Saccharomyces cerevisiae S288C: one gene and its partners. The protein of the gene in region 4 interacts with the protein of the main gene of each other region in a biochemical or structural test. Each region holds a gene or a part of one and is shown on either strand. Other genes may lie near its edges.

Region 1 (6,243 bases), on a different chromosome or scaffold from region 4:
TTTCTATGGTTATTGAGCTGTGAAACTAACCCGTCGTTCGACCATTGTTGTTCTATATACTTCTAGTTGCTGTATAGATAAGCTCTCCGATCCCCTAAACGTGCGTGGTGATCTTACTCTTTCGCCCTCGCTTTTTTTTTTTCGCTTGTTGTTTTCGCAAGGTGAATAGAATGGTTTTAGTAGCAAAGTGCATTGTTTATTGTGTGGTGTGGTTTGACGCACATTCTGTGTTAATAGTGTAGCAGAAGGGTATTCTACAATCTCCGCGAACCTAAGTATGTCTGCTGTTGAAATTTCCCCTGACGTGTTGGTGTATAAGTCTCCATTAACGGAGCAATCGACAGAATACGCTAGTATTTCCAACAATTCAGACCAAACCATTGCATTTAAGGTCAAGACCACAGCCCCAAAGTTTTACTGCGTGAGACCAAACGCCGCAGTTGTTGCTCCAGGTGAAACAATCCAGGTTCAAGTTATCTTCCTGGGTTTGACTGAAGAGCCTGCCGCAGACTTTAAGTGCCGTGACAAGTTCCTGGTTATCACGTTGCCTTCTCCTTACGACCTCAATGGCAAGGCTGTTGCAGATGTTTGGTCCGACTTGGAGGCTGAGTTCAAGCAACAGGCTATCTCTAAAAAGATAAAAGTCAAATATTTGATAAGTCCAGATGTACACCCAGCACAGAACCAAAATATACAGGAAAACAAGGAAACTGTTGAACCAGTAGTCCAAGACAGTGAGCCAAAGGAAGTGCCTGCTGTGGTAAACGAAAAGGAGGTCCCTGCTGAACCGGAAACTCAACCTCCCGTCCAAGTAAAGAAAGAAGAGGTCCCACCTGTCGTTCAGAAAACCGTTCCTCATGAAAATGAGAAGCAAACGTCCAACAGCACTCCGGCCCCACAGAACCAGATAAAGGAAGCCGCAACCGTACCTGCAGAAAATGAATCATCCAGCATGGGTATATTCATATTGGTTGCACTCCTTATCTTGGTTTTAGGATGGTTCTACAGATAATAGGGAGATTGAGGATATAGCTGTATTCTAAATATATATTTATATATGTGTGTGTTTTGCCCTTTCCTTCCTTTCAGTCTTTATTTTACTTTGTTTTTCTACAATCTTTTTTTATTGTTTCCTTCTGTAGCCTTTACAATACTAGAACAAGGAACTAAAAGATCATACTTTCCTAACTTTTTTATATGTTTTATTTTTTAAATAGGAGAATAATCGATAACTATACCACTGTTGTAACATATTACTTGTTTAATTTATTCATGTTCGGTTTCCCTAGTGTAGTAGGCGCTATCTTGGGCAAATAACTATCCGTTATTAACCATAACAATGCGGGGTCTACTAAATGAGGGGAGGGTCTTGGATGCACATTAACGAAGATCTTGCGAGGGGGTCGCGCCTAAAAGGTCCATAAATAAATGAATACATAAACAGCCACCTACTTTCAGTTTGTTTTTTGCTAGGTCTCATAGTGAACGAGGGACTCACATATTGACAATATAGTAACATGGGCTTATCGCGCTGGCACGACAAGAATTCAAGGCCAGCAGAGGAAAAGAGCGAAGAAATGCAACAGGATGCGCACTACTACGCCCTTGCGGCAAGTGATAGTTTAAATGCAAGTGTTTCTAACGAATATGGTAATCAAGTAATGAACTCGTTTTGGAAAGTGGGTATAGACTCTCCCTATGTGGACGATGAAGCAATTAGAAACAGAGATGTCGAAAATAACTTACCTTCTTTAAAGCAAAGTGTTTATAATGCTAATGAACCAAATGCTACCTCGTCTGCATTTTCAACCGCTTCATACGCACATGAAACTTTCGATTTTAGAAACCTTAAACTAAGATAAGGGGGGATGAAGAATAAGAATAAACGCACGTACAATGCATATACAACCGTTTCTATGTACCATAAATATAATTATCATATAATGAAAAATGAGAATAAAAAACAATGATAACAATGAAAAAAAAAAAATTCAATTAAAGAGAAAATTAAACTTATTTTCTTAAGTAGTCCCTTAAATAACTACCGAGTTTTTCAGCACCCTGTTCTACAACGTCTCTCAACATCTGCAATTCATCATCTGCGGAGGCATTAAAATCGATGAAACCGTTATTAGAATTACGGCCATCAAAATTCCCTGCTCCACTTCCACTACTATTGATGGGATTACCAAATTCATCCACTTCTTTATCTTCTCCAAAGTATGAAGAAGAGGAAATTGATGTAGCATTGTCAAATGTTTTCAACTTGTCATGCGCTTCCCTGTTTGCTGCTTCATCAAATGAGCCACGACCAAATAATTGATCAGATGATATAGCTTTTTGTGTGCCGTACCTTTCCGCGATTCTGCCCGTATATCTTGGTCCCTGAGCTATTTTCTGAGATTCTTTTTGTTGCTTTGCCAAATCATTGGCGTCATTCATGGTCATACCAAATCCCAATTTGGCAAACTTGGGTGTTAAAGTATCTTGCTGTTCTTTTCTAGTTGTGTCGAAGCTGTTTGAAGTGTCATTTAAAAAATCATTGAATTCATCAGGCTGGGTATTAATATCATCTATACTGTTATTATTGTTGCCTTTACTGTTATTCATAAATTGGGAATCGTAATCATTTTGTCTAATTTTGGTGCTAGAAGACGAATTAGTGAACTCGTCCTCCTTTTCTTGTTGAGCCTCTTTTTTAAATTGATCAAACAAGTCTTCTGCCTGTGATTTGTCGACTTTCTTTGCGGTTAGTCTAGTGGGCTTTCTTGACGAAGACAAAATTGAATGTTTCTTTTTATCTTGCGAGTTTAATACCGGTTTCTTTCTGCTAGCCGTTAAGATGGAACTTCTCGTTTTAGTGACAGTGGTCTTGGGTGTGCTGCCTGTGGTGTTGTTTTTTGGGGCGAGAGAGCCTGTATTTACATTGAGTTTAGAACTGGAATTGGAGCTTGGTTTTTGCCAATTAGAGAAAAAATCGTCAACACTATTTTCTTTGGAAGTCGACCTGGAAGCGTCTGAATCGGTGTCCAACGGTGAGTCCGAAGAATCTTGACCGTTCAAGACTAATTCTGATGGGTATAACTCCATATCCTTTTGAACCTTCTTGTCGAGATGTATCTTATATTTCTTAGCAACAGGGCTCGTATATTTTGTTTTCGCGTCAACATTTGCTGTATTTAGTAGCTGTTTCCCATTGTTCTTTAAGAAAAAATCACGAGCCTTATGGTTCCCACCCAACTTAAACCTTCTTAAATTGTTAATTGTCCATTTATCTAATGTAGAAGACTTTACAAAGGTGATATGAACACCCATGTTTCTATGCACAGCAGAGCATTGAATACACAGCATCACACCAAAAGGTACCGAAGTCCAAGTAGGATTCTTGTTACCACAATCAAAACAAACTCGATTTTCCATGTTGCTACCTAGCTTCTGAAAAACTTGTTGAGTAGTCTGTTCCGTGGCAAATGTTTCTCCTTCATCGTTACTCATTGTCGCTATGTGTATACTAAATTGCTCAAGAAGACCGGATCAACAAGTACTTAACAAATACCCTTTCTTTGCTATCGCCTTGATCTCCTTTTATAAAATGCCAGCTAAATCGTGTTTACGAAGAATAGTTGTTTTCTTTTTTTTTTTTTTTTTTCGAAACTTTACCGTGTCGTCGAAAATGACCAAACGATGTTACTTTTCCTTTTGTGTCATAGATAATACCAATATTGAAAGTAAAATTTTAAACATTCTATAGGTGAATTGAAAAGGGCAGCTTAGAGAGTAACAGGGGAACAGCATTCGTAACATCTAGGTACTGGTATTATTTGCTGTTTTTTAAAAAAGAAGGAAATCCGTTTTGCAAGAATTGTCTGCTATTTAAGGGTATACGTGCTACGGTCCACTAATCAAAAGTGGTATCTCATTCTGAAGAAAAAGTGTAAAAGGACGATAAGGAAAGATGTCCCAACGATCTTCACAACACATTGTAGGTATTCATTATGCTGTAGGACCTAAGATTGGCGAAGGGTCTTTCGGAGTAATATTTGAGGGAGAGAACATTCTTCATTCTTGTCAAGCGCAGACCGGTAGCAAGAGGGACTCTAGTATAATAATGGCGAACGAGCCAGTCGCAATTAAATTCGAACCGCGACATTCGGACGCACCCCAGTTGCGTGACGAATTTAGAGCCTATAGGATATTGAATGGCTGCGTTGGAATTCCCCATGCTTATTATTTTGGTCAAGAAGGTATGCACAACATCTTGATTATCGATTTACTAGGGCCATCATTGGAAGATCTCTTTGAGTGGTGTGGTAGAAAATTTTCAGTGAAAACAACCTGTATGGTTGCCAAGCAAATGATTGATAGAGTTAGAGCAATTCATGATCACGACTTAATCTATCGCGATATTAAACCCGATAACTTTTTAATTTCTCAATATCAAAGAATTTCACCTGAAGGAAAAGTCATTAAATCATGTGCCTCCTCTTCTAATAATGATCCCAATTTAATATACATGGTTGACTTTGGTATGGCAAAACAATATAGAGATCCAAGAACGAAACAACATATACCATACCGTGAACGAAAATCATTGAGCGGTACCGCCAGATATATGTCTATTAATACTCATTTTGGAAGAGAACAGTCACGTAGGGATGATTTAGAATCGCTAGGTCACGTTTTTTTTTATTTCTTGAGGGGATCCTTGCCATGGCAAGGTTTGAAAGCACCAAACAACAAACTGAAGTATGAAAAGATTGGTATGACTAAACAGAAATTGAATCCTGATGATCTTTTATTGAATAATGCTATTCCTTATCAGTTTGCCACATATTTAAAATATGCACGTTCCTTGAAGTTCGACGAAGATCCGGATTATGACTATTTAATCTCGTTAATGGATGACGCTTTGAGATTAAACGACTTAAAGGATGATGGACACTATGACTGGATGGATTTGAATGGTGGTAAAGGCTGGAATATCAAGATTAATAGAAGAGCTAACTTGCATGGTTACGGAAATCCAAATCCAAGAGTCAATGGCAATACTGCAAGAAACAATGTGAATACGAATTCAAAGACACGAAATACAACGCCAGTTGCGACACCTAAGCAACAAGCTCAAAACAGTTATAACAAGGACAATTCGAAATCCAGAATTTCTTCGAACCCGCAGAGCTTTACTAAACAACAACACGTCTTGAAAAAAATCGAACCCAATAGTAAATATATTCCTGAAACACATTCAAATCTTCAACGGCCAATTAAAAGTCAAAGTCAAACGTACGACTCCATCAGTCATACACAAAATTCACCATTTGTACCATATTCAAGTTCTAAAGCTAACCCTAAAAGAAGTAATAATGAGCACAACTTACCAAACCACTACACAAACCTTGCAAATAAGAATATCAATTATCAAAGTCAACGAAATTACGAACAAGAAAATGATGCTTATTCTGATGACGAGAATGATACATTTTGTTCTAAAATATACAAATATTGTTGTTGCTGTTTTTGTTGCTGTTGATAAAGCGATTTTTATACTTTTCTCTTTTTCCTTTTTTTTTTTGATTGGCTGTTTCCTTATGCCGCTCTTTCCCAATTTATGACTTTCCAATAATGTATTATTTTGTTTCTCTTTCTCTCTGTTACCCTTTATTTTATCATCTACAATAATTGAATTCCGGAGAGGGTAAAGAAACAGGAAAAAGAAGAAAATGAGACATAGTCAGCATCGTAATCGTTTTCCTTCTGTATATTCCTTTATCAAAAGACTACACGCACATATATATTAATCCCGGTATGTTTTTGGTGTGCTAAATCTATCTTCAAGCACTATTATAGCATTTTTTTAAGAATATCCAAAATAATATGTAATTTATGATTAATCAAGGTTCAAGAATTGGAGAAACCGTGAGCGACTTCTTTGATACTTGGATGTAAGCTTTTATTTAGTTGCTTTTTCGTTTTCTTTTATTTACGCCCTTGTTTTGCGTGTATACTTTACTTTTCTAATTCACTTGAGAGCGGGACTATATATAAAAAAATGCACAATTACAAACTTGAGAATGAATGCATATCGTGAAGATTTTGATATTAAATTAAGAAGCCAAAAAAACGTAGGCAACCATAACAAATTTCGGCATTGAACTTGATTCTAAATGCTACATACAATTACGCGCGCTGTTTTGATATACACACACATATATATATATATACATTGTGTAAGAAAAATTCAAA
Region 2 (5,927 bases), on a different chromosome or scaffold from region 4:
TTTTAGCTCTTTGAAATTGTGTGAAAATTTGGTCATAAAGGAAAAAAATTTAGCACTATATCATTTGATCAAATTCGCGACAAAGGTTTCTCTGGATGATTTGATTTTACAAAAAATATCCATAAACTTATTGAATCATTTGTTCTTCCATCAAATTAGGGATGGAAGTGATGATGATAATTTAATTAAAAAGTTATGTTTAAAAAATCAACTTTCTTTCCAAGCTTTGAAAGATTACATCACATTGTGGAATGACGGTTCTGAAGTTTATAATGCATTTTATAAGGAGCTTTTCTATGAAGAGCAACCAAAGATTAAGCCAATAAAACTAACAACATCTGACTTGCTGAAATTATTCCCTGAGGATGTTCAATTTGTGATATCCACTCCACCAAATACAATAACTTCAGCATCAACAAGCGATAATTGTACATCATCACAATCAGCTGCGCAGAAAAATATTGAAAACTTTACTACGTTATCGAAGTACGATGTCTACTCGTCCACATCTTTCATACCGTCCACGTCGAAAAACACTAACACTAACGTTAGTAAGCAGCAGCAGCAGCCTCAAAACTCTACTCCATGTTCTTCCAACAGGTTTTTGTTCAACAAAAGCAGCCTAATTTCTCAGGAAAGTAATGGTAGCAACAATAACAGCGGCACACAAGGACCTGGTTCCATGAATGAGAGTTATTCTCTTGACAATTCATTCAACACAACCAATACCAATATGACGAGACAACCAACCACCTTAACTAGAGCAACCGATGCTATGACTACGGCACCTACGACACCAATTCCATACAAGAACACTAGTGGAAGCAGCAATAACAATCTATGGATTGAATCGCCCATGACAAATTTCAAGGGTTCCACCATCAGTAAAAGTACTAATAAGAGCAAAATGGTTAATACTGGTAAAAATTATATTTTAGGGGGCCACAATAAAGTTAAAAACAACAGTAGAGCTCAATCAATACATATAGATGACTTTGAAAATGAGAACAATTAATTATCTCTGCGGAAGACTAAGACAATCAAAATATGTATTCTTACTATCATAATTAAATATTTTTATCGTTATTAATTATTATTATTATTACTATTATTATTATTATTATTATTATTATTATTATTATTTATTATTTATTAATTATTAATTGTTAATATTATTAATTCTTGTCTATTGTCTTTTGATTTATCTGCACCGCCAAAAACTTGTCAGCGTATCAGTCCATGTGTGGGAAGGGCAACGGTAAACTTCTTATGGGTGGTAATGTTTCCAGTTCTTGAACTTGTGAATCCGACTGAGAAATGGGGGTTTGTTGGGTGGATATAGCAGTATTAATCATATTCACCCTTGGTGACAATAATAACGGGGTTGTACTTAACGAACTACTGGAAGCCATCATTTGATTTTGATTTTGATTTTGACTTTGGTTTGACGTATTTTGTGATTGCAGTAGGGTATGTTGCTCTTGCTGCTGTTGTTGAACGTTCAGTAATCTGTTGTTCAACTCCTTTTGGAAATCAGGAGATGATGAGGAGAAATGCAAGTGATTTTGGTTCATTACATACCCCAAAGTGTGCAAATTCGTACCACTAGTGGATCTACTTAGCATTGTCGTGGGCGTGGAAGTCTTAGATTTCTTTCTTGATTGCTCTTGCAAATAGTCTTGCTCAAGGTTATCGATACTAGAGTTAGACGGGTCCTTTAGTCCGTCTTCTTCATCCTCACCACCAGTAGTAAAATCAGAGTCAGATTCGTTGGTATTTCTTTGGCCAACCAACAAGTCGTTCAAACTTAAAACTGAACTTGGTCTCTTCAACTGTACGGAACTCTGAGTTTGTGCTCTGAGACTTCCATTGTTGTTTGGATTTGCATTGTTCAATCCTTGAAAATCCGTTAAAGATCGCGGCCTTGGTAATATAACAGTGTTGGAATAACGTGGTGAAAGAGAATTTTGTTGTTGTTGTAGTTGTTTCTGTTCAGGACCGTCTATGAAAACAGTCCTTGGCGCACTGCTAGCAATGGGCGTCATCATTTGTAGGGACGATAACGCGTTCAGTTTCAGTCTACTGCCACTATGGCTATTGCTCAACGAAGACAAAGCAGTGGAAGCGGATGAAGTTTGGTAGTTCATATTATTCAGTGCTAAAGAAGGTGGAGGCTTCACCGAGACGGGAATCTTAGCCATCGTTTTGGGAGAAGAAACCATATATGGGTCATTCCCACCACTTTCGCCGATTTCGAATTTGGTTTTTCTACCTTTTCTTGTAGAAGATCGACTTGAATTTTCTTTCGGAGCAATAGCAATAGGAATTAAAGGCGATAGGTGTTGCTGTGGTAATGGCGGTGAAAAATTTGCCGTATTTAAATCTGGTATACTGGTAGCACTAGAACTAGCACTATTTATTGGAGAGCCCACAACCTTCTTCTTTCTGCCTCTTTTACCTCGAGGGTGGGAGTTTGTATGAATTCTTCTGTGTCTCGTCAGTTCATCGCTTCTACTGAACCTTTTCACACATCCGGGGAAGTCACACGCGTGAGGCTTCTCACCTGTATGAATTCTCATGTGTCTCGTCTGATGTTCCAGTCTGTGAAAAGCTCTATGACAGATAGGACAAGCATGTGGTCTTGGCGCCTCTGACTTCGCAGCTACTTTGGACTTGCTTTTACTCTCCTTCAATAGTGACCCATCATCAACGTTAGACACTTGTGTCATTGGATATGGGCTTTGCATGGCTATGGTAGTATGTCGTCTCCACTATACTCAACTCTCGTGTAGTTACAAGCGAGCTAGAATAAATGGCTCTCTTATCTTCGAAATGCTTTACCGGGCTTTCTTACTCTCCTTTGTCTTCGTTAATGAGTACTGGGGTGAAAAAAAAGGGTTATAATAAATAAATTATCCAAGAACGACTATTCTCTTTTCTTTTTTCTGCTTGCTCTTCCCCACTTTTCTCGTCCAGCCTGTTGTAAAAATTTGTTGTTGCTTCTTTCGTATTAGTTTTTCCGAAAGAAAGCGCCGCAGGGCCTTTACCATCACTCCAGGTTTTCCCGGAGTGGGGTGGCAGTCCGCAGTCTCTCGCGAAATCAAAGGCAACAAGCAGACACGTGGAGAAAAGCCAGGAGAACTCAAGAGCTCGAACAAGTATGCTAGCAACTAAACAAGCCGGCCTACGCCACTCTGGAGTTTCTCGCGGGGCCCGGCCGCTACAGGTTTCCTGAGAAGCCATTATAATGGCAACTACATTCATCAACACTCCATAAAATCCTATCGAGTTACACTGCTAGTGTCGCAATTGCGCTTTTCTGCTGCTTAATTGTGGGCCCCAAGCTCTTATCACTTGCTACCATCCTATAAACTGTATGGAATGCCATCACAACTTTCGGAAAAATAAAGCGCTTTTTTACGCTATCAGTGGAGATATTACGAATTAGGCACAGGGAAGAAATAGATAAAAAATTCATGGGGCCAACCCCAGACGTCAATCTTCTACACGTCAAGTTTTGAAAAAAATTAAATAAAAAATAAAAAAAAAAACCGGCGCGAAGGAAACGTGCTGGCTCGCTAACTTCTAGTCTTACTGTACTGACTACCTTCCAGTCCTACTGGTTATACTGCATTGTACGGCAACTTACACACCCCACGCACTTACTTTCCTCCACAATGCCATCTAGAAAAATCGATTACCCGCTAATTTTCCGGGAAAAAGTCGATTAATGTAGGTTAGTGGCAGCTATGCTAAGCAATGATAAAGGAACCATACACGATATTTCTACAGAAGGCTATTAAATAGGGTGAAATAGGATGAAGCAACAATCAAAAATTATGAAAGCATCCGTTTTCTCGCTATTCTAATAATGGGACAGAACTGCCAATTCTTGATCTGGTGATCCATACGATTAAAATAGGGGTTCATCGCATGGAAAGTCTGTAAATCACACTTGCCTACCATAAGGAAGTCATCAATTCCCGAATTTTAAACGGGTTTCTATGAGTATTTGGAGGATGTTCATTCTTGGTAACATTACTGATGACATTCAGTGATACACTGCCTTCAAGGAAACACACGCGATAGAGGCAAAACAATGTTGCAACGGCAATTAATTTCTGTCATTGTAATGAATTTCTGCTCGTTGCTTCTAACCATATCTTGTGTAACGCTTGCGTTGATATGCAAAAATAACGAGATGGAATTTGCTGCCCTCTTTCAGCCATATGATGGCGGCAAAAACTTTGAAATTTGTGCACAGGATATAATAAGCTACTTCTTGACTCTAACGCCGTACTACAGTTTACAAAAAATGTATACAAACTCTTAGGATTGGTCAAGAAAAGTAAATGTTGTACTGCTCCAAAGATATTGCGATGCCGTGATAATTCAAAAGGGTCGACCCAGTCTATTTCACTCGCGCGATAATCGTTCGTTATCCGAAGCTGGCCAATTGATACAATTAATTGACATCAGCAGACAGCAAATGCACTTGATATACGCAGCTTAAAGCAAGGGTAAATTATCTGAAAAAGGATTGAATACAATCAAAACCTTCACATACATTGGTAGTAATATCGAGCATCGCTATTAGCAGAGTATCTCGAAGTCTACCACGGCGAAAGTTGATTTTTTATCTGAGGTGCTGATCTTCGGACGCAATGCGCAAACGTAATTCCGTAGTTTTCCCAATTATTTTATTTTTTAAATTACACGTACCAGGTAGATCACATACATATACCCAACACCTGTTATATAGTGAATTGAATTATTCGGAACATCAATAATCCTTTGCTTATAATTCTTGTTATCATCCATCTTGCATCTTTATTTAATTATATTTTGCACAATAAGCTATCTATGTGAGCTGCGTACGGTGACTCCAAACAATCTGTTAATTTCCATATAAATAACTTGTAGTCGGATCGTACAATGGCTCTATATAGGTTTGGACCGGTATGTAACCTAATATGGCTGACTCAAAACCTGCTAGATAGTTATCCAAGTGAATTTGAGTCTCGTATCCTTTATCACATTTTTACAATAGTGGCTAGCTATCTTTTTCATGTTAGGCTCACCCGGTATTCTCATGCAAGATCAAACAAAAAATGGTAAAGTTTTGGACTTTACATTGCTTACAGTTGCTTTTTTATGAAGATTCAAAAGATTATGTCCTCGGCGGCTAAATTTTCCATTAATAATATTATCCTTTTACGCGACCGAAAAAGAGAAGCGTTTTAAGAGTTGTTTCTAACAAATATTAATAATAAAGCTAACGTGAACTGACCAGGCTCTATTTGAAAGATATGGCACCGAAAAAGAAATCAAACGATAGAGCCATTCAGGCAAAAGGCTCAGAAGGTTAAGTATTTTTTTACATGCTCATCAAATACCGCCATTACTAACAATTGTACCCCGGGTATTTTATCAGCTGAACAATTAATAGAAGATTACTTGGTGTCACAATATAAACCATTTTCTGTAAATGATATAGTTCAGAATTTGCACAATAAAGTGACAAAAACAACAGCAACCAAAGCATTAGAAAATCTCGTTAACGAGAAACGCATAGTGTCTAAAACCTTCGGAAAGATTATAATTTACTCTTGTAATGAACAAGATACAGCATTACCAAGCAATATTGATCCTTCTCAGTTTGATTTTGAAACTGTATTGCAACTGAGAAATGATTTAATAGAACTAGAGAGAGATAAATCAACGGCCAAAGACGCTCTTGACTCTGTAACTAAAGAACCTGAAAATGAAGATCTCCTAACAATCATTGAAAACGAAGAAAACGAGTTGAAAAAGATTGAATCAAAATTACAAAGTCTACAGGATGATTGGGATCCAGCAAATGATGAGATTGTCAAGCGGATAATGTCTGAAGATACGCTGCTACAAAAAGAAATCACGAAGAGATC
Region 3 (6,155 bases), on a different chromosome or scaffold from region 4:
TTCCTTTCTCTCCCTCTTCTCATGCATATCTTCCTAGATATATTTCTCCAGGGTGAAAGCGGGACGGACGTGCTTGTTTTACCTCACCTGGTACTACTAGTATTTTCATTACTCTTTTTTCATCCTCCCACTTCCCCCTTATATATTTGTTTTCCCATGTGTGGTATATGGCATCATTATTATATAAATATTCTTTAGTTGTAAAAGGCTGTTTTAATTAACACTATTTATCGCTAGACAAAACTAGACTTTCATTATTTCCTTCATTTCAACGCTTGTTTAAACATGTGCTAGGTAAGCGAGTTTTTTACTTTTACTTCCAATAAATATATATATATATATACGTATACATGTATGGGCGGGCTACAACAAAATGAAATAAAAAGCGTCAGGATCATTGTTTTTTACCATACTTGACTTCTCTGAAAAAATCCATGACGTTCGTGAAAACTACCAACAATAACCCACCACCGGGGGCAAGTCTCATGACCTTTGGCGCAAATCCCTTATACAATGCTTTAAACCCTTCCTCACGGTAAACTAACAGCACTGAAGGCAGGGACCAGTTGTACTTCCTCAGCGGCCCGGAACTTCTTTGGATCCTAGATTTTACCACGTCAAATGGTGTATTCAACAAGCACCCGACAGTGCCACCAATAGCACCTGCGATCAAATCATTTCTGGTCTTTTCCGTGCTTGTTTTAGCCGCCGGCAAAAGCTTCCGAATTTGGAATATTATACCGAAATAACCGGCATTCCAAAGAACGTGTCTCCAGATAGTGGCTTCCAACCCATTGAAAAGTGACAAAACACCACCTTTCACAACACTATTCTTTACAACTTCAATGGGTGTCTTGAACTGTGAATTCACATCCTGTAATCTAATCTTCACTAGTTCAAAAGGCGCGACGACAAAGGCTTCCACGGCGCCAGCGGACGCACCACTGTATATGGCGATTTTTTGAGTCATCTCCCCATTGGGCGTGGGGAAAATCTTTTTATAAAACGTTTGGAATGTATCGTTTCCGGAGAACTTAATTGCTCTTTTCGGAGCCTCCATTAATATAGGCGATGTGATACCCTTGTAAAGATGCGAAAATCCTTCCTTCTTCACAATTTTTGTAAGACAATCCATCACGCCCGTGTAGTGATCTACTGCTGCTTTCGCTGCAACAACAGCGGGATGACCTTTGGTTGTCACTTGTAATTGCATTCTTGTCTTCACCACGTCCAATGGATACATCACCAATAGCTCCGAGACGCCGGCAATGGCACCGGCTGTGAACTGGTATATGAACGGCAAAGGTCTATTATCTATAGATGTCATCTTACAGTTCTTTTTCTTTCACCCTCGTTACAGTTCTATCTTGAGAATAAATGAGATAAAGGTTCCCAAAAGTCACTGATATATATCAACGGCGGTCACCCTCACAGAAATACCCGAGAATCTGCCCTTCGCCAAATCAGATTCAGCCAGTTCGCAGTTTTTTTCCCTATCTCTGGTCGCCGCATTATGAAAAGATCCTGGGGTAATAATGGGAATGATTTGAAAAAAAACAAATGCTGGTAGAAAAAGGTCTTCGTATTGCTCGTAGTAATACGGCTATTTCAAGTAACTGCTCGGGCCAGCGGCTTGAGGAAAAAGTAAACCCGTTACTTTGCTTTTTAATGACGCTGGAAATACCAATTACCTACTATGTATTACTTATGCTTATGACAAAGGGATGAAATTCCCGACGATGCAAATTGGGATGTTGTACCTATCCCTTCTGATAGTGAAACTAAAACAGCATGGCCGTTTGCGGATTCCATCTTTGGTTCGAAGACTACAACTTGTTAAAACAGCCTTCTGACCCTTATCAAACGCTATGGACCCGTATTTTTCCCAGAAATTCACAGCGCTTTCTTCTGTCATCAACTCGTAGATCGCAAGCTTTCCATCGCGTAAATCATCGACTGTGCAGTCAACCAGTGAAGCAAACTCTTTATTGGCTCTGTAAATCTCACCGGTACGCCTACACAAGCACGCTGGCATGCTCATAGAGGTGAAAACACGATCATAAGATAATAACATCCTCTCGAAGCTCTCCTCCACTAAAACTAAGTCAACATCCTTCAATGAACGCGCAATGGTTCTAAACGCCGGTCTAATGGTGGATAGTGGTTTCAGAATCCTTTGCTTGGAAGACTGATTCATATATTTGTCCATGTAGTCTTGTAGTCTTGCATACCCCTTGGCATAATTATACGGCTTCAATAATCCTGCTTCAAGCTTCGCATTTATGACCAACTTCAGCCGGTGTTCTGGTGTCATCTCTGTTGACGGATCCGCCGCTGTTAAAAAGAATTGTTCCTTCGGTGTCGGTGCACTGTTTTCGTTTGCATTCGCTAGAATTCGAGACTCTTCCTTTTCTTGATCTTGTTTATCCCCTTTCGAGATACTATTGGAAGAACCTGACATAATAGTAGGCGACCTATTTTCTTGTCTTGCCACTCCTATTTCATCCCTACGATTGTCGTTTTGGTACTCTAATGGCGATTGTGTGGTTTGTGAGCCATTTTCCAAATGAACATTGCTCGCACTGCTGGAACTTAGTGATGTTTGAGTCAATAGAGGATTTTCTAGCATAGAAAGAAATTCATTCAAAGAACTGAATTCCGAACCAACATTCTCGGACACAAATACAGGTTGTTGCGGAAGCAGCAAGCTGGTTGTATCATTTACAAGAGAGGAGTCTAGTTTCGGTGACAGTTCCTCTCCATATGTGGATCCACTTTTATTGACTGGTTCATTCTGATAGTCAGACGGAATTCCAGTGTGTGCTTTATTTGCATATTTGCCCTGTATATTATTATCATTCGGAGAACTTTCGTGCTGTGATGGCATCTCATTTGGAACCGCAATATCATCTTCCCTGCATAAATGGGCAATATCCCTCTTGACGCACCTAGAACATGGACGTTGCTTATCACATACAACATGTGACCGTTTACAAAATAAACATGTTTTAAAAGCCTTACTGGCTCGTTTTACACCACTGTTTGCTGACATTATTTCGTCAGTTTATATAAATATGTGTATTTTGTGTTGATTAAAATTAAAAAAAACTTTATCTCACTGGCAAAGAACTCCCGCAAATTTTCTCATAAGAATTACTTTCTTCTTCCATCCCAGAGACCTCATCCTTTTTTCTAATATTCAACTATTTTTCATTTTCCTTCGTACTCTTTGTTTTGCTTTTTCTTGTTTTCTGCCATTCCAAAACATTATTCTCCCCATCTAAGGAGCGGATCTGTAGGAAAAACAGCGTAACCATTGGAAAACCCTTTCCCTAACCAATGCCCTTTGACGGATGAAACATGATATATCTTTTAAGGACATAGATACTAACCAATACAAATCAAAGAACAGTGAAGAGTCTAAAGGGGCAGCGAACGCTTAAGTATCTTCTTTAAAGTAATAATATTCCTGTCGCAGGTGAAATAGCACTTCAGCGCACAAACAAATAATATTGCAGCCAAAATTCCCTAATATTGTCATGATAAGAATATGTCCCATTGTTAGATCTAAGGTTCCACTGTTAGGAACTTTTCTTAGATCCGACTCATGGTTGGCACCTCATGCGCTAGCTCTAAGGCGGGCCATATGCAAAAACGTTGCATTGAGAAGTTATTCAGTGAACAGCGAACAACCAAAACATACATTTGATATTTCAAAACTTACTAGAAATGAAATCCAGCAATTGCGAGAGTTGAAAAGAGCAAGGGAGAGAAAATTTAAAGATCGTACGGTTGCATTTTATTTCAGCAGCGTCGCGGTACTTTTCTTGGGTTTGGCATATGCAGCGGTACCACTCTATAGAGCCATTTGTGCTCGTACTGGTTTTGGTGGGATTCCCATAACAGATAGAAGAAAATTTACCGACGATAAACTCATTCCTGTAGATACTGAGAAGAGAATTCGTATCTCATTCACCAGTGAAGTATCACAAATTTTACCGTGGAAATTCGTTCCTCAACAACGTGAGGTTTACGTTCTGCCTGGTGAAACAGCCCTCGCTTTTTATAAAGCCAAGAATTACAGCGATAAAGATATTATTGGTATGGCTACTTATAGCATAGCGCCTGGTGAAGCAGCTCAATACTTTAATAAAATCCAATGTTTTTGCTTTGAAGAACAAAAGCTAGCTGCCGGTGAAGAAATAGATATGCCTGTCTTCTTTTTTATCGATCCAGATTTTGCTAGCGATCCAGCGATGCGAAATATCGATGATATTATTTTACATTACACATTCTTCAGAGCTCATTATGGTGATGGTACAGCTGTAAGTGACTCTAAAAAGGAGCCTGAGATGAATGCAGATGAAAAAGCAGCGTCATTGGCTAATGCTGCTATTTTATCCCCAGAAGTTATAGACACAAGGAAAGACAACTCAAATTAATTGTAAATACAAAGTCATTCAATGTACATAAATACTGTTATGCTTTTGAATTAAGTAAAACACCATGACTTCATATTGAGATGTTTTAAGCATATAATCACGGCACCGAACTTCTTGTAATCATCAAATCTTTGTTTTCTAGCCGTCATAGAAATGAAGAAATGAAGATTCTTGTTCATGTGATACAGCTTTTCTAGACAGCTAACTTGTACATCCAGACATCCTAAAACACCCATAAAGCAAAAAAAATTATTGAAATATTCTCTTTTTTTTCTTTTTTTTTTTTCTGGTGGCTTTCAATGCGGAATCGCTCACATCCGAAAATTTCAGAGGCTTCACTTAGCGTCGCAGATCCCAGTAGTCGCCAGATGCTTTGAAAAAAAAAAAAATAAATAGAAAAGTTTGTAGACATATCCGATGTAGTATATTTCAGAGGCCAACCTTTACTTTTGTTTTCTCCTACACTTCAAAATAAAAGACACCGTCACAAATCTCAGCAACAATGGCTTTCCAAAAAGACGCTAAGTCCTCTGCTTACTCCTCTCGTTTCCAAACTCCTTTCAGAAGAAGAAGAGAAGGTAAGACTGATTACTACCAAAGAAAGAGATTGGTCACCCAACACAAGGCCAAGTACAACACTCCAAAGTACAGATTGGTTGTTAGATTCACTAACAAGGATATCATCTGTCAAATCATCTCTTCTACCATCACTGGTGATGTCGTCTTAGCTGCTGCCTACTCCCACGAATTGCCAAGATACGGTATTACCCACGGTTTGACCAACTGGGCTGCTGCTTACGCTACTGGTTTGTTGATCGCCAGAAGAACCTTGCAAAAGTTGGGTTTGGACGAAACTTACAAGGGTGTTGAAGAAGTTGAAGGTGAATACGAATTGACCGAAGCTGTTGAAGATGGTCCACGTCCATTCAAGGTCTTCTTGGATATTGGTTTGCAAAGAACCACCACTGGTGCCAGAGTTTTCGGTGCTCTAAAGGGTGCTTCTGACGGTGGTTTGTACGTTCCTCACTCCGAAAACAGATTCCCAGGTTGGGACTTCGAAACCGAAGAAATTGACCCAGAATTATTGAGATCTTACATCTTTGGTGGCCACGTTTCCCAATACATGGAAGAATTAGCTGACGATGATGAAGAAAGATTCTCTGAATTATTCAAGGGTTACCTAGCTGACGACATTGATGCTGACTCTTTGGAAGACATCTACACTTCTGCTCACGAAGCTATCAGAGCTGACCCAGCTTTCAAGCCAACTGAAAAGAAATTCACCAAGGAACAATACGCTGCTGAATCCAAGAAGTACAGACAAACCAAATTGTCCAAGGAAGAAAGAGCTGCTCGTGTTGCTGCCAAGATCGCTGCTTTGGCTGGTCAACAATAAATTATGGATATATAACGTCATTTTGAGATATTTTAAATAAAGCTATCTTCACATAACCTTTGTATTCATTTTTAGTTAACTCATTTACATCATCCACTTACTACATTTGTATTTTTTTTACGATTTGCGTACCGCCTCATTACTACCCTTTTTTTGCACTGCAGTAATAGTACACTCAAATCATGATGAAAAGAGAAAAGAAAAAAATGCCACAAAAAGTAGTTGATTTTATAAAAGTTATCATCCAATTTTAGGTAATTTTATTCTCTTTATGTAACGAACATATGAAGATTTCTTCTCTAGAATGGCATTCTAAC
Region 4 (6,544 bases):
CCTGTTGTATGTATACGCTCTAATGTCCGATATCATCATACGTGCATCACTTTGTAGCCTTCTAGGATGGCGTCTAGGTGAATACCGCCGTAGTGTTTAGGAAACTAATGTTATGGGTGGTTGTTGTTTCACTATCCAGTAATACTTTTGTGGTGAACTTAAGAAGCTTAGGGGTTACCCCTTCTTCTTGAACTAATTTTAAGAAATAACAACGAGGAATAGTGTGTATTTTTAATTACTGATCAGGCCGCATGAATATACTCACCTGTATACGTAGCAAAATTTCAGTCTCCTACTGTATATACGTCTAGATGGACTCGGTGACAAATTTTTTCTGGAATGACACCTATAATGCTGGTACTCCAACTAGATCAACTCTCAAGGGGAAGAAAGTGCAAAATGGCATAGATGGAAAAAGTCAGGCAAAGAAAGAGAGCATATCTAGTGGTTCTAGAACTAGTGATCCTACACGTGGTAGTCTGCCATCTTCCAGTGGACAGCCAACTAGTGGTGGCGGTTTTCCCTCGACATCAAACATCCAAAAGATGATGGCAGATACCCTGGTAGAGAAGATAATCAAAATGGCATTACCACCATCTTCCAAAACGGCTGTTGATACAATTCACCATCGTATGGTTGCTGGTAAAGAAAGGCCTAAGCTGTCTGTGCAGATCACGAGTAGGAATTTTATACAGATGAACTCGAGACTAGGGGTACCATTCATGATTATGGATGAATTAATAAAGATATTAAACTGGACTAACCCAGCGTATACAGTATCTATCATGTTCTTATACACGCTCATTATATTGAAACCTTTTCAAATGCTTTCTTCGCTCCCTATATTCTATTTGTTATTCTGCGTAATGGTCCCGCAATACCTTTACATTCATAAGCCAAACCCTACAAGCTATCTAGATAATAATCAAACACCAGCACAAGGCCCACCTTTGCGAAGACCTGAGGTTCCTAAACCAGTCCCTGAACTGAGCCAAGAATTTGTCTTAAACCTCACGGATTTACAAAACCATATGCTGCTATATGTTAAATTCTACGATTTTACTTTACTCATATTACAAAAGTTTGCATTCTTCACCAACGAGGCTATTTCGTCGTTTTATTTTATTGTATTGTTAATAATAGCAACATTAAATTTTCTGTACATGGATAAATTTATCAAGCTCATTCCAATGAGACCCGTACTGATACTGCTAGGTTGGGGTTTTTTTATTGCCTCGCATCCGTCCAATCGTGAATATTTGTTGACTAAATTGAATTCGGAGGAGACAAGATTAAAAACTTTGACTATAAGTACTAATCTGGAATCTAAGATTTTGCAGCATTTGAAACTCATTGAGGCTAGGGAGCACCGACTTGTTATGATCTTTGAGATCCAAAAGTATCTTCCTGAATACAAAGAATGGCGCCCAGTTGGATTCTCTGATGACGATTATTCTCTTTTCTCTAGTTTGAGAATATACCAGAGGCGTATTGAGGAAAATTCAGTGAAGTCATTAGAAGAAATTGAGCCACCTAAGGATTGGGAATGGGAAGCCAATTCTCATTGGGTGCTTGATTTGGATCCAAAAGAATGGGTAGAGGACGAATTTATTCAGTATGTCGAGATAGATTCAGAAACAAAATGGGTCTATGACCTCAATCTTGATGGACAAAGGGGCTCATATAGAAGGCGAATGTGGACCAACAGTTGCGTGCGGAAAAAACTGGATTCTGGTATTTCTTCAAACCTTGGTGAGGAGGAAGTAGTTAATCCATTGAGGGAAGAAACATATAGGCAAGGCGTACATGGCGTGACGAAGGGTTCAATGAGTGGCGGTCTAACTCACAGTAGTGATGATGACCGCGCTGATGAGGAAAGTATAAACGGTACTATTCCTAATCTCAACAATATCGACGCGGATGCATCTTATCCGTCAATCGAAGAGCTAACAGACACTCTCAATTCAACTATATAAACTTGATTTGTTATACTATATGTTCACTGATGATACAGTCAACTTTTCATAAAACTTTCTAATGACAGTGACGAACTTTTCTTCTTTTCCATTTTTTTCTCTTGATTTCTTTTCGATAAAAGGTTTGTAAGTGAGTTCAACTTTCTCTTCTTGGATCTCTCCTTACCAGTACTAGTTTTACTCTTTTGGGGCTTCTTTACCGCGTACGAAACCTTCCCGCTGCTGGTACTATTGATCATCGGACTAACATCTTGTCCAAATGTTGGAACAACGAACTCAGATTTCCACTCAAACAATTTAGACTTTTCACAATTCAAGCAATTAACCTGGATACATTTTTTTGGTCCTTCCATACTCTCGCCGCCAAGTTCGTCGGAGTCACCTTGCTCGGTATTAGTCGTTAACTGAAGACTTGCGTTAAAATTAGGAACGTAAACACACCCGCAATGGGAGCAAAATTTCCCACTTTTCAGTTGTTCTGGCAGCATGATTTGATATCGCTTCACAGAATTATGAAAATTTTTATAGTATAGTCCCGATAACGCTCTGGAATTCAGTGTTGGCAGTACATGTAGTAGGTTGTATTTTTGTCGCAGACTCCGTTCTTGATATTTTTCTGCCTGGTCTTTATTCATTTTTGGGATCCTTTTGTTGTACGATTGTCAAAGGTTCAGTATTTTTATTGTAGCCACTAGTAGTACTCATCTCTATTTTCACATAGAATAGCGTTTTCAATTTTTCTCATAGAGCGTGAAATTTGCTTTTCATCCGAAGAAATAATGCCAATAAAAGAACATTCACATCAATAAATTATGTTCAGGTTTATTTAATCAAGATTGTTTACTTTATACAAAGGGATATTATAAAGATGTTGCAAATACGTTACGATACATAAAAAAAAGGGAACTTCCATATCATTCTTTTACGTTCCACCATCAATTGCTTTGACTGTTAACGGCTAATTCCATAATTAGTTTTGTTGTTAAATGTAAAAATGGGTAGGCTGAAAAAGTACTCATTTCATCTTCAGAAATATTAGAAACAGTAGTATCATCTCCATAACTACTTTCCCAGCCGTCAAATTTGAAATCCACCAAATAATTATTGGTTTCAATTTGAAATAATTGAATTACCATTTTCATTAAATCAGGTATTTTTTCATTAGTGTTTGTCTTGTTTCCAATATCATATTTCCACCTTAATTTGATAGTCCATAAATCCTCTTCAGATGGCTTGGCCCATTCGGCACCCAAATTCTTCAAGGCAATATAAATTTCACCCATAACGTCTAATGGATATGAGCGAGATCGTATACCAAAATGCCATCTCGTTTTAGATTTTTTCGTTACAAGAGGAGATATTTTAGAGGCAGCTGGCGAACCTTGTGCTAACATATTAGCTCTGTGGATCTGAGGTAAAGATGTAGGCAAAATGGAAACTGTAGAGTCTTCTTCTTTATACTGATCCATGAAGGGTGATTGGTGATATGTCCTTTGTTGAGTGATAGCACTTGCCATCCTTCTTGCGTGTTGCTTGGCAGTTTCATGATCTACTTGACTCTTTTGATGGGATTTGCTTTGTTGTTGAAAAGTTGGAGGTGACTGGGACAGAAAGGTATCCAGTTCATCACTGACGCTTTTGTTTGCCTTCATATCCTTGATCAAAGATTTATTCTCCTTAATCAACATGTACGCGTCCCTAATTTCGTTGAATGCAGGAGTGTCTTCTGATGATTCTAAGGACTCATAAATCTCGTCTTTTTCGTAACCCATGGTCGATGATAAAATATTGACAAGGTTGTCATCAATTTCATCGTTATCTGGGCTGCTGCCATCCTTTTTTGAGTCATTATTTTCATTCTCTTCTTCTGGGTGTGGTTTCAAATCTGGTGGAAGTAGATATTCTGGCAGGTCAACTTTGAACCAATCGTCTTGCATAATTTCATGAATGCTTATTCTGTTCAATGGATTAACGATTAACATTCTTTTGATTAGCCCAGCAGCTCCAGGAGATAAAAATTTAGGCAAGGTGTAAACACCGTTGCTGATATTCTTGAAAAGCACTGGGATGCTTTCATCGTCAAACGGTAGACGACGACAAAGCATAACATAAAGGATAACCCCACATGACCACACGTCCACTTCTGGGCCTGCGTACAGCTTACCGCTGATAACTTCAGGAGCCGCATAATTGGGAGAACCACAAGAAGTCTTTAAGAAATTACCATCAGTCATGATGTTTGACAAACCAAAATCGGCAATCTTTACATTCAGATGCTCATCTAGTAGTAAGTTTTCAGGCTTCAGATCTCTATGGACAATTTTGTGCCTATGGCAGTACTCGACGGCACTGATGATCTGCTGGAAAAATCTTCTTGCCTCTTGCTCGCTCATTTTGTCTCTCTGAACAATATAGTCAAACAATTCGTTCCCGGCGTACTCTATAACCATAATGATTTCATCTTTGGATTTGATAACATCATACAGTTTGATGATGTGGGGGTGTCTTAAGAGTCTCAGATAAGATATTTCTCTTTCAATTCTGCCCTGCATATCACTCTTTGCCAAAACCTTCTTATTAATGATTTTTAGAGCAACTTTTTGGCCCGTAGTGGTATGATATGCCAATTTAACTTTACCAAAGGACCCCTCTCCCAGCGTTTTGACGATTTGGTAGTTCCCGATATGTGCACCATCCGCTAAGGACGACTTGGGATTGTTTAGCGTCGAGTTGCTTCCGCCATGACCGTGATGGTGGTGGTGATGGTGGTGATGGTGGTGGTGGTGGCTAGAATTTGCATTGGCAGGTGCTGTGTTTGTGTTGTTGTTACTGCTCATGTTGACTTTATTAAGGGAGTGTAGCAAAACTTGTTACAAAAAAAAACTTCTATTTCTTTCGCTATGATTATTGAAACAGCCTCTATATATTATCAAAAGCCAATGACACTGAAACAATTTCTATTGTCGTGCTTTTTTTTTTTTTTTCAGGCTTCAATCTATTGTTTATCGTTATACTTCCTGAATGACTGTTTGGACACGAATGCGCAGTAAGAGGAAATGTGAAAAAAGAATATTTCGATAAATGAAAGTTCTGGTAACAAGCCTACAGTACTAAGCCCAAAGCTATGTCTTGGCCCCTATAACGCTACCTGTTGATGTGCCATACTCTTACCAACTTTCTTTTACGTTAAAAATTTCCATCCCCTTCCGCTACGAGAAAAACTGCAGAGGGTAACTATGACATGTACTTTCTAATATGGGCCTATAAGGACTATATACATATGACTAACATTGAGTAAAACCAGGTCTCGAGTCCCATCATCACGCCCATCCTTTTGCATCCACGCCGCCACGCAATTCCTCTTTTTTTGAAGTTACTTGCGTCATGTGGGACATCATATGGGACATCATAGCCTGCAAGATCGAGAGTTAAATATACGACTAAAAGAAATAGTAGCACACTGCCATTTCCAGCTTTTAGTCCCTTGGGGAAGGTTCAGCATTTGATAGCAAATGATTGTACAGTTTATAACCGTATCTAAACGTACGGACATGTTTTTTCCTAGGGCCTCTATTAAAAAAATCTTTGAAATTTCCCTTCAATGCCACCCTTTTTTGCCAGGCATTGGTGGCCATGATTTGTTATGGCTTCCAAGAAAAGGTTTTACTACAGACGCCTTTACTACAGAAGATGCCTCTTCCTATCGTGATTTGCCCTCCAGACAAAAGCCGCGGACATAACGATGGCGGATTGCATTAGACAATGATTGCTATACGGAGGCGAAAGAGATAGCTAGCGACTTCTTAAAGGCGACATTGCTCCGCTACAAACGTGGTGGAGTTTTAACCCTACGAATTCAGTTACAAGGTTGAAGTTAGTGAGCAGCTTCTGTTCTGCCGTTTCTTGCGCAGTCTTGAACTTTCTTGGTCTTGCCATGTGGTCGGGATATTCTGTTCGTTTATAATTACTCCTTGCCACAAAGTGCACACCTATTTGGATATGGTATATATAAAGAGTGGAGGCTTATATCGGCGAGAGCGTGCGTTCTATCAACTCAAGCAAGTATACGGGTATACACAAGTATGTGGGATTCGTTAATTGTAAGCATCAACGATACGCACAAGTTGGGGCTGGAGGATTGTCTCGCCGTTTTTGGCCACGTTCCCATTACCAAGGCCGTCAAGCATGTCAGACTGACAGAGATCGACACGCAGACGTCCACGTTTACGCTCAAGTTCCTTCACACAGAAACGGGTCAGAACATCGAGAAGATTATCTACTTCATTGACAATGACACGGGCAACGATACCCGCACTGCTACCGGAATCAAGCAAATCTTCAACAAGATGTTCCGCATCGCTGCGGAGAAGAGGAAGCTGTCGCTCATCCAGATCGACACTGTTGAGTACCCCTGCACTCTAGTAGACTTGTTGATCCTGGTAGGCGTGGCGCTACCGCCATTGTGCTACCTCTATCGTCCTGCACTGCACGCTATCTTTTTCCTGGTCCCTAATCCTGTGGGCTCCACCTTAGAGGCGTGGCTGGATAGTGATCTTGTGCTGCGACTC

The links.
Region 1: of the proteins of SNF1 (region 4) and GLO3, one has a biochemical effect on the other in vitro, tested with the Saccharomyces cerevisiae proteins (2 studies listed by BioGRID).
Region 2: of the proteins of SNF1 (region 4) and MIG1, one has a biochemical effect on the other in vitro, tested with the Saccharomyces cerevisiae proteins (12 studies listed by BioGRID).
Region 3: of the proteins of SNF1 (region 4) and RDS2, one has a biochemical effect on the other in vitro, tested with the Saccharomyces cerevisiae proteins (3 studies listed by BioGRID, with this or other methods).

The regions. Positions count from the first base shown.
Region 1 is NC_001137.3:400,858-407,100, forward strand, and holds GLO3 (ADP-ribosylation factor GTPase-activating protein), read right to left. Parts: upstream 3,496-6,243; coding exon 2,014-3,495; downstream 1-2,013. Other genes in the region: phosphatidylinositol-binding protein SCS2, read left to right, coding at 278-1,012; YER121W (uncharacterized protein), read left to right, coding at 1,518-1,862; casein kinase YCK3, read left to right, coding at 3,956-5,530. UniProt on the Saccharomyces cerevisiae protein: GTPase-activating protein for the ADP ribosylation factor (ARF) family. Involved in retrograde vesicular transport from the Golgi to the endoplasmic reticulum.
Region 2 is NC_001139.9:430,316-436,242, forward strand, and holds MIG1 (transcription factor MIG1), read right to left. Parts: upstream 2,748-5,927; coding exon 1,233-2,747; downstream 1-1,232. Other genes in the region: VIR1 (Vir1p), read left to right, coding at 1-1,015; YGL034C (uncharacterized protein), read right to left, coding at 2,899-3,264; HOP2 (Hop2p), read left to right, coding at 5,310-5,364, 5,435-5,927. UniProt on the Saccharomyces cerevisiae protein: Involved in glucose repression of the SUC, GAL and MAL genes as well as of the CAT8 gene. Binds to two sites in the upstream region of SUC2.
Region 3 is NC_001148.4:298,177-304,331, forward strand, and holds RDS2 (gluconeogenesis transcription factor RDS2), read right to left. Parts: upstream 3,053-6,155; coding exon 1,712-3,052; downstream 1-1,711. Other genes in the region: ODC1 (mitochondrial 2-oxodicarboxylate carrier), read right to left, coding at 395-1,327; COX11 (Cox11p), read left to right, coding at 3,540-4,442; 60S ribosomal protein uL18 RPL5, read left to right, coding at 4,945-5,838. UniProt on the Saccharomyces cerevisiae protein: Transcription factor which regulates the expression of genes for gluconeogenesis, the TCA cycle, and glucose metabolism. Involved in the cell wall remodeling process and drug resistance.
Region 4 is NC_001136.10:1,410,642-1,417,185, reverse strand, and holds SNF1 (AMP-activated serine/threonine-protein kinase catalytic subunit SNF1), read right to left. Parts: upstream 4,814-6,544; coding exon 2,912-4,813; downstream 1-2,911. Other genes in the region: PEX29 (Pex29p), read left to right, coding at 312-1,976; SNM1 (Snm1p), read right to left, coding at 2,015-2,611; YDR476C (uncharacterized protein), read left to right, coding at 6,059-6,544. UniProt on the Saccharomyces cerevisiae protein: Serine/threonine protein kinase essential for release from glucose repression.